Linked DNA regions of Caenorhabditis elegans. The protein of the gene in region 1 interacts with the protein of each later gene in a pairwise test. Each region holds a gene or a part of one and is shown in the gene's direction. Other genes may lie near its edges. The genes, in order: sorb-1, sap-49, ttx-1 and sas-5.

Region 1 (4,730 bases):
TGGTAACTAATAAAAAAACTATTTTTAAGCACAATTAGTCTCCTAGGTTTATTCTTCGATGGCAAATTGTGATGCGAACGGCAAAAAACTATAATTTTTTTGAACAAATTTTTTGCAAATTTTAACTGTTTCTATGAAGTGTTAAAGTTTCTGTTCTTCCTTTGAAACTAATAAGCTTGCGCTCCACCTTTTTTTAAATACAACGGTTACTTCTGGCCAAAAGAGTACTAAATCAAAGGTGTGATGATCATGATCATAGTGATGAAAAAGTTTGTCTGGTCACTTGAGAGCAGTTCCATCTTCTCTCCTCTCATTCTCTTTCTCTTCAGCAGGTCCATCCGGCAATTGCTTAACAAAAATTGAAAGAAGAAAGACGAAAAGTGTGTAAAGTCATGTATATAGTGAGCAAAAAGATAGAGAGACGCAGACACTGAGAGAATGTGATTCTGTTTCGTGTCCCGGGGACAGAAGACGCAATGAGGGACATTCTTAGTTTCTCTAAGTGTGGCTCTCGCAACAATAATATCACTCGATTTACTGATAAAATTTTTCTTATTTTGGTTTTTTTGTCGTATTTCAAAATAACAACTTTTCGTAAAACCTAGTACTGTTTCGGGCTTGTTAACTATTACAACTGTGAAACGGTAATTTTTATTATTTTAATTTTCAATAATTTTAGTTTTCAGTGAAATACATAACTGATTTTGCAACTCCTACAATCATTGAGTTCTAATTATTTAAACTTAATGAAAGTGTAAAAAATCGTAGAAATAATTTTTTGGGTCGAACCCCAAATTCTGATAGATGAAATGTGGCCTTTTCCCTGTTATAAAAAATTTTTAACCTAAAAGTTTTACTATTCTTGAAAAAACTGCTCAAGTGACCAGACAACATTTTTCAAAAGTTGTACGTCTTACATACTCATGGACAAAGGTGGAATAGATTTGAAAATGTTGTAAAAGCTTTACCATTTCAAAGAAACAGTATAAAATTTAAACACTTGTTCCAGAATGTTATTTTCATTTTTAAAATTAAAAAATTACAAGTGTCTTTTCTATTTTAAGAAAACAAAAATTAGCATTTTTCAATTCCAGCAATGGCAAAATTGTGATTGCCGTGCACATTTTACCCGGTCTTGGAAGCTATTTTTAAAAACTAGATACATTCTCATTCAAGTCTCAAAAGGTGTTCAAAACTTTAAAAACAATAACTTTAACACAAGCATTAACATTTCAACAAAAATTATGATTTTAAGGATTGCGTCAATTGAACGTGAATCCATTGTGGGAGCTTTAACACTTAAATGAAACAGTCAAAACAAAAATTGACAATATGGTCATTTAAGTACCATCCTTATAATTCCAAAAATGCATTCTACTGGCGCTCCTAAATGTCAAATTTAGTTGGAAATTGGGTTCAAAATCTTTATAGAATTTAAAAATCTAGTGAGAAAATATTTTGAAAATTAAAACAAATTTTCAAGATGTCTGAAGTTTTCTGGAAAATGGAAAATATTCTTGAATAGTGTACATCCCATGAATCTGCAATTATTGTCAGATTGGGTAAAGTTCGAGAACTATAAAAACTGTTACAGTACAAATTTCAAAAAAAAATCCCATTTCTGACAGAACATATTAGTCTTCCGTATTTCACATTTTTCATTTATTCTTTCCTTTATTTTGTTATACAATTCTTCAAACTCCCATATTCCAGGAATGATGCATCATCCTCATCCATTCGGGTCAAACCTGGCGGTAAGAGCTTTCAATTAATCTACTCCACAATCCCTAATTAATTTCCAGAACTCATCAGAACCACAACAGCCATCTGGTCAATATCTAAATCCTGCAGCAGATGCCTACAACTTTGACACCTTTGAAGATTCTGATAAATTCTCACCGAAGGGAAATGTGGCGGCGTTGAGAAATGTGATACATGGGCAGTTGGATATGAAGACACCAACTGGAAATAGTTCCAGATATCAGAAACCAGCGCCTCCGCCTGTTGGTGAGTTTTGTTTTTCTAGGCGTTCTATGTATTAAGCTACGAAATAATAGTTTTCGGAAAGTAACACATAGCTCATATGAATTCCTTGAAACTGTAAAAAATGTTAGTCAACAAGATAGTCAACAAATACACGATTGGCTGAGACCTGGTACCTCGACGGACCTGGAAGATGAAGCAGCAATTTTGCAATTAGATTTTTGTCATTTTTTCTATTAATAGTAAGATATTTTGGTTTCTGTCCGAATGCTGCAAACAGTAACAATAAAGTTTTGAAGTAGTCTTATAAACTATCTAAAACTGTTTTTTTTGTATAATTTTTTCTGATTTTGCGGAAAACAACTCCTGATGTCTCTCCTAACCAGCAATATTCAAAAAATCCAAATGTTTTGATGTTCAATAAAATAATAAATTCCAGACTCAACTCCTTCCTGGGCCAAAAATGTAAAAGTATACGAACCAAATGGATATGTGGATCCACATCTTAACAAGCATAATATGGGAAGAGTACTTGATGGTCCTGTCAATCCAAATAAATATTTTCAAGGAGTGAGTTTTATTTTGAAAAAAACAGCGATACAATAAAGCAACGAACTTTTCAAACTGAAAACAATGTGCTGAAATAGTTAAATTTAGTTATTACTGACCATTTTTTACTGATATTATTTTCTTTTTGGCTTTTTTTACAAGCTATGAGTGAAACACGTGAGTTTTTTTCTAGAAATTATTATCGACTAAAGCTTCACTAAAAATTGTAAAATATGAGCAAAATTATTTTGAGTTTTGAAGTTTTCTACTTTTCAGAAATACAATTCACAAGTAATAATAGCTTCTATATACGAAATTTCAAAAATTTAACAGTTTTTAAGTTAAAAAAGAACAAACCGATCAGATCAAACCGGAAAATTGTAAATGTCCTAAATGGCTTTCACGAAACAGTAGAACTTTCTTTTTAATTTTCCGAAAACACAACTTTTCAGTTCTATTTTGAAAATTGTACATTCCGGGAAGTTTATGAAAAATCCTTATGTAGATAAAAATTTACGCAAAATTGTTTTAAAAAACGTTAAAATTTTGTGTACAGTTTGAAGATTTGCAAAAATTTAAAACAATGAAAATACTTTTTCGTGTTGTCTATGAAAACTACATTACTATTTTTTTGTGATAGGAAAACTTATAGGAAAAATGTTTTGAGTACTTTTTAAAACTTGCAAATGCAAATGACCTGAAAAATCGCCAAGACATTTCATGTTGTTCTAAAAAATTTAGTGCTTATTCTCTTACTTAGACTTGTTGCGACACACTGAAGATTGAAACCAATAAACATTTTTCGCTTGTTCTATTGTCATGACATAAAATTCCTGAAACAGAAAAAATTGTGGTTTCTATTTTTTTTTTTTCAATTTTCTATGAAAATTGGGTCAAATAGTGTCTGAAAGTTGTCATTTGCTGAAAAAGTTTCACGGCAAACCCTAACTCAGGCACTATTTGAGATAATTTTCGAACTTTGCAGAAAAAATAAATATCATTATCAGATAGAACTCATAGAACAAACCTTGTCCTACATTTCTGTAATGATTTTTGATACAAAAAAAATATAATCACCAAACTAAAATACGTAGGTTTGTACATTTGCTGAAAAGATTTTCCGCGCAGAACTGATTCTAACCAGGAAAATCAATAAAATTATAAAGTTTTATTCAATTCGGTGTTGATACCTCCAATTTCTTGCAAACGGAATGCCAAAATCAGTTACTTGAAATTCGAAGCGGGGAAATTTGAAAGACCGACTCTATTAACATCTTCGCATTATGTTATGAAGTTGAAACAGCAGAATTATTTTTTGCAACTTCCAGGTTCCACCGGCCAGTTACAGTCAAGTAAAGCACAATGAGTCGAAACCACCAGTGCCTCCTTCCACAAAGCCTCCACACTCTGCTGCTCAAGCCCTTCAGGCTCAGGTCCTACAGAGCTCCAAAGCCCCCTCTCAACCCCAGCAATCTCAAAAAACGTCCTACCGAATCCCGTATGACGTGGCGCTCGATCCACGTCATCACCTCGGAGAATTCGACATTGATGACAGTGCATCAATTATTTCCTCGTGTATCTCGACATTTGGAGAATCTTCAGAAATTGCTGGATTTTCTGCGGCAGCCGAGCAACGGCATCTCTATGAGCAATATAGGAAAAAGTTAATGGAAGAGAAAAATGAATTGAAAGAGGGAAGTGAGACACCGTGTGTATCTTTGTCTGAAAAAGTGATGACGTCATCGACTGAAAATTTGAAAAATGGAAATAATCAGCAGAATCAACAACCTGAGCCTCAGCCTCCATCAAGCTCAATATTCAATTCAGAACTCACACCGTTTGGCCACGTGGCTCCTGTTGCTAAACAATTTGAACCAACAAATTTTCCACCATTTTCTCCAGAAAAAGAGAGTGAAATCAAGAGATCTATCGATTTGGAAAGTTCCCAACTTCTCGTAAAATCAAAATCCCCGGCTCCCTACTCTACAAGCTCGACGGATCATTATGGAACTATTCGAAGGAAGCATAAACCAGTGGCAATTGACCTTTCCAAGTCATCACCCAACTTGGCGAGTCAATCGCCGAGCAATTTATTTTTTGGAGCCAGCTTTGAGGAGAAGCAAAATCGATCGCCGATGACATCAACTCCGTCTTATAAAGAACAAGGATTCAAAAATGATAGGTGAGTTGATGTTTTC
Region 2 (3,700 bases), on another chromosome or scaffold:
CCTACTCTTAATTTTTTATCTGGAAAAATCACACTACTCATTCTGTGAAATAATTTTGTAGATGAGTTTAACAACAATTATTTTTGACAATGGTGGCCATAATATGAAGATAGGTACGATAGACTCAGAGTCCCCTAGGTTTGTTTCTAATAAGAAAAATATCAATATAATTTAAATATTTTCAGATTAGTTCCAAACAGTATTGTGAAAGCGAAACATGAAAAGAAGCGGGTTTTTGTTGCACACGAGCAAGAAGAATGTTCGGACAAGTTTTCGCTATTCTATGTGCGACCAATTGAAAGAGGATATGTGGTGAATTGGGATACACAACAGCAAATCTGGGAGAAAACGTTCGGATCTATGGATGTGGAGGCGTCTACTTCTCGAATTGCACTCACAGATAATAACTATCTAATCCCAGCTCTTCCTGATGTCTCTAGTGAAATATTGTTTGATTATTTCGGCTTCACAGAGGTACACAAAACGTCTGCTTCGACTTTGGTGGCAAAACATTCAAATAAAATCAACAACGAAAAGTGTGCAGTTGTTGTGGATTCCGGGTTTTCATGGACTACGGTAGCTTCATTTGTGAATGGAATGCTTATTCAGGATAGTGTTATAAGGTTGGAAAGTGTTTTCAAACTACAATTAGCTTTATTTTTAAGGATCGATGTTGGTGGAAAAGCGTTAACAAATAAATTGAAGGACTGGGTATCTTACCGACAATTGAATGTTAGCGAAGAAACATACGTTATCAACGAATGTAAAGAGGATCTTTGCTTCGTCTCACAAAATTTTGATGAGAGCATGAAAGAGGCTAGGTAGGTATAAAAATGAAGAATACTAATTATATTGTTTTTATTCAGGAATCGATTTCAAGAAAATACAACAATGAAACGATATATTATGCCGGATTTCCACTCGACATTCCGAGGTGTAGTGAAAGACGTTAAAGAGCCACACGATCCACAAATTCCTTCAATTCATTTGGGAGTTGAGAGATTCGCCATTCCGGAAATCTTATTCAAGTTAGTAATTTCGGCAAAAAGTATAAACTATTTTATCTGTTGCAGTCCCTCGGATATTGATATTGATCAATGTGGTGTCGCAGAAGCTGTTATCGAGAGTATTTGTCAATGTCCAGAAGCATTACGGCCTGCTCTGGCAGAAAATATCATCGTGATTGGCGGATCGTCGTGCTTCCCAGGATTTCGTGAACGCCTGGAACGAGAAGTTCGATCAATGCTGCCAGCAGAATATGGATTGAATGTTTCAAATGACGTAATAAACCCACAAACTCATTCCTGGCATTGTGGTCAAGAGCTTCTCACTGCTTCTAAAGTTCCATGGATCAACCGAAAAGATTGGGACGAACGAGGAGACTCGTTGGAGTTCTCTAACTTTTTCCAGACTCTTGTGCAATCCGATGAACTGAAGGGAACTCGTAATTTCGATGATCAGAGGGAGAAATCCCCAAAGGAAGATGAAGATTTCTGAACTGATCTCTTATCACTTTAAAATAAACATGTTTTATATATATATATGCCAAAATATTTTTTTTTGAGATCAGAGGTTTATTTTCCTTTGTTGGACTTATTTTTTTTCATGTGCTGTTCATTTTTTAAAAATCAATATTTCAGATGTCAGCAGGGCCGATAGTGGAAAGAAACCAAGATGCAACAATTTACGTTGGTGGATTAGACGAGAAGGTGTCAGAGTCCATCCTATGGGAACTTATGGTACAAGCAGGACCTGTTGTCAGTGTCAATATGCCGAAAGATCGAGTAACTGCCAATCATCAAGGTTTCGGATTTGTGGAGTTCATGGGAGAAGAAGATGCAGATTATGCAATCAAAATTTTAAACATGATCAAATTATACGGAAAGCCAATTAAAGTAAGCTATCAAATATGTTTAGTTTATTATTTAAAAAAATAATATTCAGGTGAACAAAGCATCGGCTCATGAAAAGAATATGGATGTTGGTGCAAATATTTTTGTTGGAAATCTGGATCCAGAAGTCGATGAGAAATTGCTATACGATACGTTCAGTGCTTTTGGAGTTATTCTTCAAGTTCCAAAAATCATGAGAGATGTTGATTCGGGAACGTCTAAAGGATTCGCGTTCATCAACTTCGCTTCATTCGAAGCTTCAGATACAGCATTAGAAGCTATGAACGGCCAATTTCTTTGCAATCGAGCTATCACCGTCTCATACGCTTTCAAGAGAGATTCAAAAGGAGAAAGACACGGAACAGCAGCGGAGCGTATGCTGGCTGCACAAAATCCACTGTTTCCAAAAGACCGGCCACATCAAGTATTTTCTGACGTTCCACTTGGTGTTCCAGCTAACACACCTTTGGCCATGCCAGGAGTTCATGCTGCTATTGCTGCTCATGCAACAGGACGCCCAGGCTATCAACCACCACCATTGATGGGAATGGCTCAATCTGGATATCAAGGACAATATCCACCAGTACCACCACCTCCACCAAGTGTGACACCAATGCCACCTCCAATGCCGCCAACGCCAGGAATGACTCCTCGTCCACCACCACCACCATCATCTGGAATGTGGCCGCCACCACCACCGCCTCCACCAGGAAGAACTCCAGGACCACCAGGTATGCCTGGTATGCCTCCACCACCACCACCATCACGATTTGGTCCTCCAGGAATGGGTGGAATGCCGCCGCCACCTCCACCAGGGATGAGGTATATATTTTTGTTCTAAGTTGAAAATATCGTTCATGTTCACCGTTCGAACTTACACAATTTTTCTTTTCAGATATCCGGGAGGCATGCCGCCACCACCACCGCCGCGATATCCTTCTGCTGGACCAGGAATGTATCCACCTCCACCACCAAGTCGTCCTCCAGCACCACCATCTGGTCATGGAATGATCCCACCTCCACCACCTCCATCATAATTACTCGATCGGATTGGAATACCTTAATCTTTATTTTCAGAAACTTTTGTTTTTCACGAAAAGATCTTCATTTCAGCTGTTCTAAACTTTTACATTTTAAATTATTTCGTTTTATTCTCATTCCATAAACCAATTTCTATTTGATGTCAATTCAACTTCAATCATATTCCACAACCATCATCTCCTCCTCTCTCTTATCAATCTCATCACAATCACACCTTTCTTTTCCAATTACCACTTCGATACGTCAAGTCACGTTCTTCAGCGGTTTTTTGTTGCATTTTAATGTTCTCACACAATCTGTACGCCTTTTTCCACTATTTAAGACATCATTGATGTTCGCTGGAGCGGCAAATCCTATGAACTATAGGCAAGTTCAACGCCTAATAGAGACGTAGAGTGTAAGTGAGGTTTCCGGGAGAATTCGTCTCGCACCTTCCTCTCATTGATTCTATCAACGAACGGAACGAGTTAAACTAAAAAAAAAAGTGTAGAGAAATAGAGAAAGAAGGGGAGAGAAAGAACATGGACAATGACTGTATTCAACCGGAGGACACACCAAAACTAATTAGTCACCCGAAAACATCACCTACAATCATCACATTGCTTCTTCGCACTTTTTCCAGAAATATTATTCCAGTATCATTTTGATTTTCTCCAATTCAGTGTTTTTGTGTTGTAGAATTTTCAGTTTATTATTTTTGGAGTTCCGAGAGTATCTTCAGTTCAAATTTTGCACATTTATCTCCTTATTTAAATGAAATTGCTACT
Region 3 (4,721 bases), on another chromosome or scaffold:
TTCTGTACAAAAATAACACAATTTTTGAAAAGCTGGTTAAAAATTGTATTAAACCCATGTTAGAACATCTTTGTGGTGCTTTTAGAAAAATTGAAAAAATAAGTTTCAAAAATGTTTTTCTCAAAAAAATTTGTTTTTGAAATTTTAACTGATTTTCAAATGCTCATAACTTAGTACACATTGACCCGATAATTATAAAAAATAGATTTTTGTTTAGTTCATGAAAAGTTGTTTAAGATAACGTTAATTTCGAACAACTTGAAAAATAACAAAATAAAAATCACAAGGTTTCAAAAAGTGATACTCGAAAAAAAAATTTTTTTTTTAGTTTTCAAATTTTTTTCTTCAAATAACCAAAATTCAAATTTCCTTCTAGTTTATCAAAAGTTTTCTATCACTATTTTAACACCTACTAAACCCCTTCACTGTTAACACCATAATCACCGTATCCTCTCGTTTCCGGTCTATTTACCCATAACACATGCCTCCCCCCCCCCCCCCCCACCCGCATCGGCACTCGTTTGCAGGGTCCTTTTAAGTGACAGCCGACATATAGAGACTATATACCGCAAAAAGATGGGGAGGAAAGTTTGACAAGTGTATTAACACTTTTCAAGGAGAAAACGGACATCGGTTGGTCAGTCGAGAGTCAATAAAGGATTACCACTTGCTAGGGGTGGAGGGGTACTAGTTTAAAGGCGCATAACTTGGTTTGTTGTGGAGTTGTGAAATGGAATTTATTGTTTTTGGATAGCTGAAAAAATTTGCTACAAGATTGATGTTATAAGTTTTTTGATAGAATTTAGTTGAAAACCTGAAAAATCAAATTGAAAAATAAAAAAAAAAAATTCAAAATTATTATGTTATTTTAAACTGTCATAACATAGTTTGTTGGGATGCTAAAATTTTTCGCTAAACACCTATAATTTGTGAACATGTATAAATTAAACTGAGATCTGGAAAAAATGTATTTTGAAAATATTTTCCAAAAAAATTTTTTTTCCAAAAATTTTTTTTGTTCAATTTTTTAGAATAGATTCTTTTCATGAGCACCCTACAAAGTAATAATTTTTGTTTTGTAGTAGCTGAGACAATTTTTAACAATACTGGTATAACTATGATGTGTTAAAATTAATTTGAAAATTTGAAAATCGCAGTTTAAAAAATTTGAAATTTTGACAATTTTTGAAAAATGGTAAAAAATTCATATCAAATTTTTACTACGTTAAAAATTCTCAAAATTTGAATTTCCAGGTGCTAAAATATTCGAAATATTTGATTTATGCTTCGAAATTTTTTTCAGATTTTTTTTCAGATTCTCAGAATTTTCAGAATTTCCAGACCGCCGCGTTCCCTGAAAAAATATGTCGAAAAATTTCCCAATATTCACAAATTAATTTCCATTATTATTATGATGCATATTAATATTAACATATATATATATATATATATATATATATATATATATATATATATATATATATATATATATATATATATATATATATATATACCTACGTAGGTATAAGATAATCTCTACAGCTCATCCCAGGATCCCCGGGGGGTACTGTAGTAGCTCCATTAGACTGATTGGAAAATGGATCAGAAGCCGCCCCGAAAATCCCTGAAATCCGTATTTCATTTGTCATATATTCCTGCTTCATGTCCTTGACGTCTTCCTCAGCTCCATCCGACTCTATTGTTGAATTGGTAGGTCCGAAAAATAATTTCCAAAAAAAATTTTTTTTCTTAAAAGTTTTAAAGCATTTTTTTCTGCGATTCCTTTAAAGTCCCATTAAATTTTTTTGTGTAGCTTGTAGCCTATGAAGCTTATTAACCATTAAGCCTTTAGCTTAGGATTTCAGATTTCAGATTTCAGATTTCAGATCTCAGATGGTATTTTAGGAGGATAACCCGTTAAAAACCGTTTAGAGGGGCTTGAAGCCGGTTTTTTAGGCAAAACAGCTTGAAAACAATATTAAGCAGTTAAAATAATTTTAATTGAAAATTTAGACAAAAATTCAATGCAAATTTTCGAAAAAAAAAATTTTATTCAAAATTTTTTTTTTTTTTTCAAAAATTTCCAAACTGCTATTTAACTATATACATACCTAAAAACATTTCGAATTGTGCTTTTAGACCTTTAAATTCCCTTGAATTCAAACAATTTGAGTGGCCAGTTACTGTAGTTTAGGCTCCGCCCCTCACCGGGGGCGCCAATGTAAAACCTTCGTAACTTTGCTGAAAATGGACCGTTGAAGCCAGTTTCAATTTTGTTATAAAGCTCAAAAAATGAGCAATTTGAGCAGTATGTATAACGTTCAAAGATTTGTCACCAAAAAAAGTTTTCAAAATGTTTTTTTCAAAACTTTTTTTGAGTTTTTCATAAACTTTGACTAGCCATAACTTTGCTTGAAATGTACATAAAAAGCTTATTTGTAGTAAAATTTAAAGCCCAGATCTGTGAAAAACAAGCACTAGTAAGTATTGTAAACTGCAAAAAAAATCTAAAAACTTTGAAAATTTCAAATTTTCTGATTAAAAAAATTTTTTACCGAATTTTTTCTTTAATTTTCAAGCTATCATAACTTGGTTTAAAATTGTCTCATTTTCGAGGTTTAAGCCACATCCAAAAGAAAAATATATTGACTATAAAAGCAGCTAACGTCACATTGTTTTGGGCAAAAATTCCCGCATTTTTTGTAGATCAAACCGCAATGGGACACTTTATAGATCTGCTCAAAATTAATATACTACCAAGTTACCATATATACTTGAGTCGCCTATTTTCAAGCTTTTAGGTTAGTATAATTTTATTTTGTGAACTGTGCACAATTTTACGCCAACTGTAAAAATTCTAGGTAGGTTAAAAAAAATTCCAAAAAAATTTAGTTTCCCAAAAAAAATTTTTCCTCCAACAAGCAAAAAGCGAAACAGATTCCATTGCTTAACCCAAACTAAATCAATTGTTTTGTTTGATGAGAAAGGTACACACACACGGGAGATTACGGTAGCCAGTACCACACCACAGTCCCAAAATTGGAGGCAAACAGTAGCGCTCATCACGATGTGCTCGCGGAGCAGCGTCACGGATGCGTTGAAATAACAAGACACGCTCCGGTTGATTATATATCAAAAATTACGGTTGCGGGAGATTTGGGGGAAAAATTTTTTTTGCGTTTTTTTGGGGGCCAAAAAAAAAATTTTTTCATAAATATTTCCTCTAAAATGTCTAAATTTCAACTGCATAGTGAATTTTTTTGAAAAACATTGCCTAAATAACACAGTAATAAGCTTTCAAATAGTATAATTAAAGTTAAAATTGACCAAATTTGAAAAAAGTTATGAAGGTTTAAAAATAAAGCTAAAATTAAAAAAAAATTCAACTGAGAGTTTCTAAAACCAAAAAAAAAAAGTTTTCGGTATGTGTATATGGTTTTTAATAGAATTGTTTAAATAATACTTAAAAAGCACAAAAATTAATATTAAAAAGATGAACAAAATTCAAAGTCGGTTGATTTTGAAGAAAGTTATGAAGATTTGAATTTGGGGTTGAAAATTTCAATTTTTTGGAAAATTAAAAAATTAAACAATTGATGTCGAACTTTCAAGATTTTTGCTCAGTTTTTTAACATATATAATTAAAAATTCTATAAGTACGTAAAATAAACATTTAAACAATTCTAGACTTATAAAAATAGATCAATTTAGAAAAAAGTTATGATGGCCTGAAATTTTTTAAAAATGTTTGAAAATTTTTTTATGTCCTTTTCCAAGAATTTCAAAATGCACACAATTTTTTAAAGTGCACAGGATAAGCATAAATAGATCAAAAAAAAATTTCCAAAAAAAAGTTGTTTTTTTGTTGGAAATAATTTCACACTTTCTAACTAAATTTCTTAAAAATAGGGTCAGTGCACAATTAAAACCTACAGTTTCCTTTTAAAAAAATCAATAAAGCAATTAATAAGGCCCCCCCCCCACCCACACCAATTCAAAACTGCAGGGGTGGGCTCCTCCCCCCGCCCGCCGCCGTGTCCCCAACATTGGCCCGAAAAGTGGGCGGAGCCAAACGTGGTACGGTCACAAAGCGTAGAAAGCATGGAAAACAAAGAGAGCGGCGAGAAAAATGGGCGGTTTATTTGGAATGGATTGGCGTTGGCCGAGAAAATCGCATTTTGATGCCCCGTGAGGAGGGATGAGCCCTTCTTTTGGGTGCCCCAGGTATCCCCCCCCCCCACCGGGTTCGAGTGTTTAATACCCTAAGATTTAAGGACATAATCCTAAAAAGCGGATTTTAGCAGCTTTTTCGGGGGGTCCCCTCCCTCCCCCCACCCCATCACCCCGCATACTTACTTGTGCATTTGTTATCACCTGATTCTTTTTTGTATTGGTAACTGCTGCGTAAGTGATACAATGGGTAAGTATGCGGGATAAATTTTAATTTCTTATGTTAGATTTAAATTGAAAATCTTTCCTTCAAAATTTGACATTTCGGTTCGAAAAAGTTTTTAAAAAAATAAAAATAAAAAACAACAAAAAAAATTTGCTGGTTATTCTCATACTTTGAGCACTGATAACTTTACTTAAGCCTGATATTTTCTGCTAATTTTTTAATTTTTTGAGTAGATCACATATTGGGCTTTCGATAACATATAAATTTAAATACAAACCTTTCAAAACTATCAGGAAAATTGACTTTTAAAATTGCAACTTTTTTT
Region 4 (4,404 bases), on another chromosome or scaffold:
AAAGAGAAAAAAGGAAGTATTTCTATAGATATTTTTCTGTAAAATTTTTTACTGGTTATAGATGTGAGTTTGATATTATAGGTGTGGGTCGCAATACTATTAGAGAAAATGGGGTATTATTTTTAGTGATAGATTTTACTTTAAACTAGGGCTGAATAATAAACGAACCTGGTTGTACTTTGATTGAAAACCATACTCTTGACATGGAGACAAATTACAGGATAAATATAACTGAAGTTTTGTAGTTCCCAAAAGGAAAAACGTTGCCTTAATGTATATAAATTATTATTTTTGCATCACATTCAAAATTATTTTTTAGATTATATAAAAAATATTTAAAAGAAATGAGATAAAAATTGTTTATGAGTGGATGATAATACAGTTAAATCATACTTTGAAAATTACCCGAAAAAAAACTACAAAAATGCCAACTCTTAAAAATAACTTGTTTTTCATAATACAGATAATTCCAGGAATTCAAATATCGTCTTATTGGGAAGTTCTTGTTTGATTTCCACAGGTTGCCATACATGAGTTGTAGTTGGGGAAGTTGTTGGCATTTCCGAGAGTTCCATAGAATGAGAAACGCATGCAAGTTGTGTATTTTGGAACCCAGAAGTATTTGTCACTTTTCTCTCCTCCGACAGCAAACTTTCCAGAGTCATATGTCAAGTTGCAAAGATAGTCTGTGAATTTGAAATTTAAGAATAAAACATTTAAACATTTGATGCTTACTGGATGTTGGACAACAGAATGATTGAATACAGTTATGACCCTGTGGGCAAGTATTAGCTCCTGCTGAGCATCTCACTGGTGTCAAGTGGTCAGTGTCATAGGTAGCAGAGCAAGCAGCTTAAAATTTTTAGAATAATTGCCATAGTTACTAGCTAACCTCACTTACACTTCATTTGAACGGTTTCATCACTTGACTCCGAGTCTCTTTGAGCTTGAGCATTGGTACAAGCTGATCTACACTCTTGTGCACTACTGAACCGGTTACTATTACCACCACATCCCTGATACATGAATGGTTGACACGTTCCAAGTCTTGGAAGATAATAGAACATTCTAGAAGAACTGTTCTCAGCGCAAGTATTTCCAGAGTCCCGTGCAGCAAAACAGTCAACAGAAGTCGATTGAGCCGCAGTGAAAGACAATAGGGAGAGAATCTAAATAATAATTACATTTAAATTAACTGAAAGTCGTATGTAGATCTAAAGTAGATCTATTTCTGGATTTAGTAGTTTTTAATTTAACTAAGTTTCAAACCTCATAATTAAAAGGATTTTAAAACTCACCACAGCCAATCTAAGTGCCATTTTAGTTTTGCCACGTGAAAATGTTGTACTCGAGTTCTGGATTTCTTTTAAATAGGCCATCGAGATTCCCGCCCCTTTAAACTATTGTACTGGCAATCGTGTAAGCTCTTGCTACCGTGCAACACCACCAACAGTCAAATCCAAATTCCAGTTTTGATCTGACCCCACGGAGCAAACATTGTGTGTATAATGTACATATACTGTTGGCTCCTTCGCACTGACTTTTTTACCACGCTGATTTATTTTGAGACACTTTTTCTGTGTCTCGCTGTCTATCTGTGTACAGAGGAAAAATTTTCTCGGAATTTTTAGAAAACCAGTCGGGAGTGTTTACTTGTTTTTTAATACTTTTAATACATTGGAAAATTGTGTAGGTTGAGAAGATTTTTTGTTTGAAAATCTGTCAATCTAAATTTGTTCAACTGATCAGGAACATTCTTCTAAATTGCAGATAATATGAGAAAGTAGAAAATTCTGTTGTTTTATAATAATATCATTTAATTTAATTACAATCTTCTTTCGTCCCCGAATGGTCATGCGAAAAGAAATGTGAGAAAATATACAATGTGCGCGCTCATCTTGCAAAAAATGTGCGCGGGGGTTGCAGCAGAGGCCACGCCCCCGCGACACCAACGCGCCAATTTTAAAGAAAAAACGTTTTATTTTCCAATTTCATAGTTTTAACAGAAATGACCTCGCATTAAGCGGGAATGAATAATTACGACGACTTACCCTGCTCTATTTACTTCAAAAAACCAACTGGTGAGTTGTTTTCGATATAAAAGTGTTAAAATTGCCAATTTAGTCCAGGAGTTTGTGGATCAACCGAGAGTCTTCGAAGATTCTGAAGTCCCTGCCTTTCAAGAAGTTCTTCAGCTTCCACAAGAAAGGACAAAACCCCCAGTACCATCTACGCAGCCAATTGTCGCCGCTGTAGAAGTAGCCAAGAAAAAATCGTGTCTTTCGGCTCCGAAACCAAGAAAAGAGCCACCTTCGCATCCAGCGCTTCGCCAAAAAACAGTTGCGTTTGGAAAAACAGTTAACGTTTCCCAAACTGTCGAGGTAATTAAATTAAAATTGTTCCATGGCATAATTCCACTAAATTATCTTTCAGGGAACATCTCGGAATTCAAAAAAAGTGCTTGCTTCAACAATGTCTGCCCAAAATACGACAACGACTGAAGAACAGGCAGCTGAAAACTGGCGGGACGCTATGAAAACAGAACTGCAAACGATACGAACAGAGATTCAAGAAGAAACGGCCCGGCGACAAGAAGAGCTCAATGCTCAAAATCTTGTTAAAATGCAAGAATTGATGTCAAACTTCTTTCAGAGTATGTTTGAATATATATTATCCCATAAATTCAATAAATAATAATTTTTCAGAGATAACGATTCCTAAACAGCAAGCGATCGAACCAGTTGAAAAAGACAAAGAAAATTTTCATGAGAGTCCTCGTCAATCAAGACAGCAGAAGCCAGCTAGTAAAGTGAGAATTCAGATAAAAAATAAATCAAAAAGTACTCCGTTTTAAGATCGCTTCGGCACGAGAAGTTATCAAAAGAGACGGTGTTATACCTCCAGAAGCATTAACAATTATTGAGCAACGCCTTCGCTCGGACCCAATGTTTCGCCAACAAATTGATAATGTTCTAGCAGACGTGAGTAGTGTATTTAAATCCGATAGAAATAGTTTGTTTTCAGGCTGAATGTGATGCTAACAGAGCTGCATATTCTCCACCACCACCAATGTCTGAAGTTAGATACGGATCTGGTGTGAATCCTGCTTTGATGAGAGAAACACTTACGGTAGAACGAAGTATTCGATATGACAACGGACTCGCTTCTATTGATTCTAGACAGTGGACAAATGAGAGACGTGATAATCGTGGTAATTTAATTTTTCAATATTCAAACACAGAATTCGTCCGCTAGAATTGTATAAATATAATAATTCACGCATTCCAAAATGTATCAAATAATTCATTAAAAATGTTTGAAAGTTGATAACCATTCGTAGTGAAAACACTTTATACTACGAAATGATTTTAAGATGAAATCCTCAAATCAGTTGAAAAATTTGAATTAAAAGTCAAAAATGAGAAGTCTCTTCACTATTCAAAAAAACCTTTTCTAGCTCCTGACTCATACCGTACCTACGAACCGGATCAACCATGTCACTCACTCTATCAAAAGGGTCAAAGTATTAGCTATTATCCGTCAGAAGCAGCTGGAAAAACGACAGCTAGAAACAATCGAACTGGATACTACGTGGAAGATTCATCAGATCATGAAGAGGATGTTGTAGTCAATAAACGGGGACAGAACTATCACGAGCAAGCGGTACCTGAGACTCCAGCTGAACGAGAACGCCGTATTCGTGAAAAATACGCTCGCAGGAAATGATATCAAATGTGTTTAACTCTTGACGTTTTAAAATTATCATTAATCACTACGTGTAATGTCTGTGAATTGTACTAAAACCATTACTTCCAGCTGTGACCTGAATAAATTTTGAATTTCATCGATTCTTTCTCATTTGATCATATGATCGAGATAGTCTCGAACTTAATTCGATTTTCAGCACTTCACACTTCTGTCATTGTTTGACAAGTACCAACTTGACCTTTCCATCGGTCTCCTTCAAGAGTTTCATTTGTGTACGAAATAAAAATGAAAATTCTAGTAGTGTACGTGTTAATTGGAGAAGTTCTACGAATTTTTAAACTACAAGTTCATAACTTTTAAAACAAACTGTTATGGCATGTACACATGTGTTCCTGTATTAAAACACTTGCTGTCTTCAGACTTTCCAATTGAAAAGATACACTTTCACTTGATTTTCCATATGCAAGCAAGCGTTTTGAACTATCACTACCTTTCTCTATTTTTGATTTCTCTTCCTGTTGACTTTTGCACCCGAATTTTTTGAATTTCTTTTGTCAAAATCTAGTAAATATTGACATTGATTATTTATAGAGAGTAGGTGGAAAATTAGAAAATATAAAAGATTAGGTGTGTCTTGTTCATCTTTGCAAATTTGTTTTTTGGCATTTTCAAAAAGTTCGAGAGAGCACCCAGATG

What was found.
Region 2: the proteins of sorb-1 (region 1) and sap-49 interact in binary tests that used the Caenorhabditis elegans proteins (3 or more experiments, as listed by UniProt).
Region 3: the proteins of sorb-1 (region 1) and ttx-1 interact in binary tests that used the Caenorhabditis elegans proteins (3 or more experiments, as listed by UniProt).
Region 4: the proteins of sorb-1 (region 1) and sas-5 interact in binary tests that used the Caenorhabditis elegans proteins (3 or more experiments, as listed by UniProt).

What each region holds. Positions count from the first base shown.
Region 1 is NC_003282.8:13,748,621-13,753,350, forward strand, and holds the start of sorb-1 (SH3 domain-containing protein), read left to right. Parts: upstream 1-1,712; 5' UTR 1,713-1,715; coding exon 1,716-1,754; intron 1,755-1,802; coding exon 1,803-2,007; intron 2,008-2,032; exon of another isoform or gene 2,033-2,053; intron 2,054-2,238; exon of another isoform or gene 2,239-2,262; intron 2,263-2,422; coding exon 2,423-2,553; intron 2,554-2,564; exon of another isoform or gene 2,565-2,585; intron 2,586-2,639; exon of another isoform or gene 2,640-2,663; intron 2,664-2,876; exon of another isoform or gene 2,877-2,897; intron 2,898-3,135; exon of another isoform or gene 3,136-3,156; intron 3,157-3,169; exon of another isoform or gene 3,170-3,190; intron 3,191-3,306; exon of another isoform or gene 3,307-3,327; intron 3,328-3,769; exon of another isoform or gene 3,770-3,790; intron 3,791-3,860; coding exon 3,861-4,714; intron 4,715-4,730. UniProt on the Caenorhabditis elegans protein: Required for organization of sarcomeres in body wall muscles and for maintaining normal mitochondrial position in myocytes.
Region 2 is NC_003280.10:8,033,708-8,037,407, reverse strand, and holds sap-49 (Splicing factor 3B subunit 4), read left to right. Parts: upstream 1-1,640; coding exon 1,641-1,895; intron 1,896-1,944; coding exon 1,945-2,714; intron 2,715-2,787; coding exon 2,788-2,929; 3' UTR 2,930-3,158; downstream 3,159-3,700. Other genes in the region: arp-6 (Actin-like protein C08B11.6), read left to right, coding at 62-138, 186-623, 666-821, 867-1,028, 1,074-1,497. UniProt on the Caenorhabditis elegans protein: Subunit of the splicing factor SF3B required for 'A' complex assembly formed by the stable binding of U2 snRNP to the branchpoint sequence (BPS) in pre-mRNA.
Region 3 is NC_003283.11:20,061,116-20,065,836, reverse strand, and holds the start of ttx-1 (Homeobox protein ttx-1), read left to right. Parts: upstream 1-1,660; 5' UTR 1,661-1,662; coding exon 1,663-1,710; intron 1,711-4,416; coding exon of another isoform or gene 4,417-4,420; intron 4,421-4,721. UniProt on the Caenorhabditis elegans protein: Probable transcription factor. Binds to a motif including the sequence 5'-TAA[TG]-3' in regulatory promoter elements.
Region 4 is NC_003283.11:11,608,750-11,613,153, forward strand, and holds sas-5 (Spindle assembly abnormal protein 5), read left to right. Parts: upstream 1-1,987; 5' UTR 1,988-2,029; coding exon 2,030-2,081; intron 2,082-2,124; coding exon 2,125-2,381; intron 2,382-2,433; coding exon 2,434-2,653; intron 2,654-2,705; coding exon 2,706-2,809; intron 2,810-2,855; coding exon 2,856-2,981; intron 2,982-3,024; coding exon 3,025-3,211; intron 3,212-3,457; coding exon 3,458-3,726; 3' UTR 3,727-3,847; downstream 3,848-4,404. Other genes in the region: piit-1 (BPTI/Kunitz inhibitor domain-containing protein), read right to left, coding at 490-686, 736-852, 902-1,169, 1,299-1,319.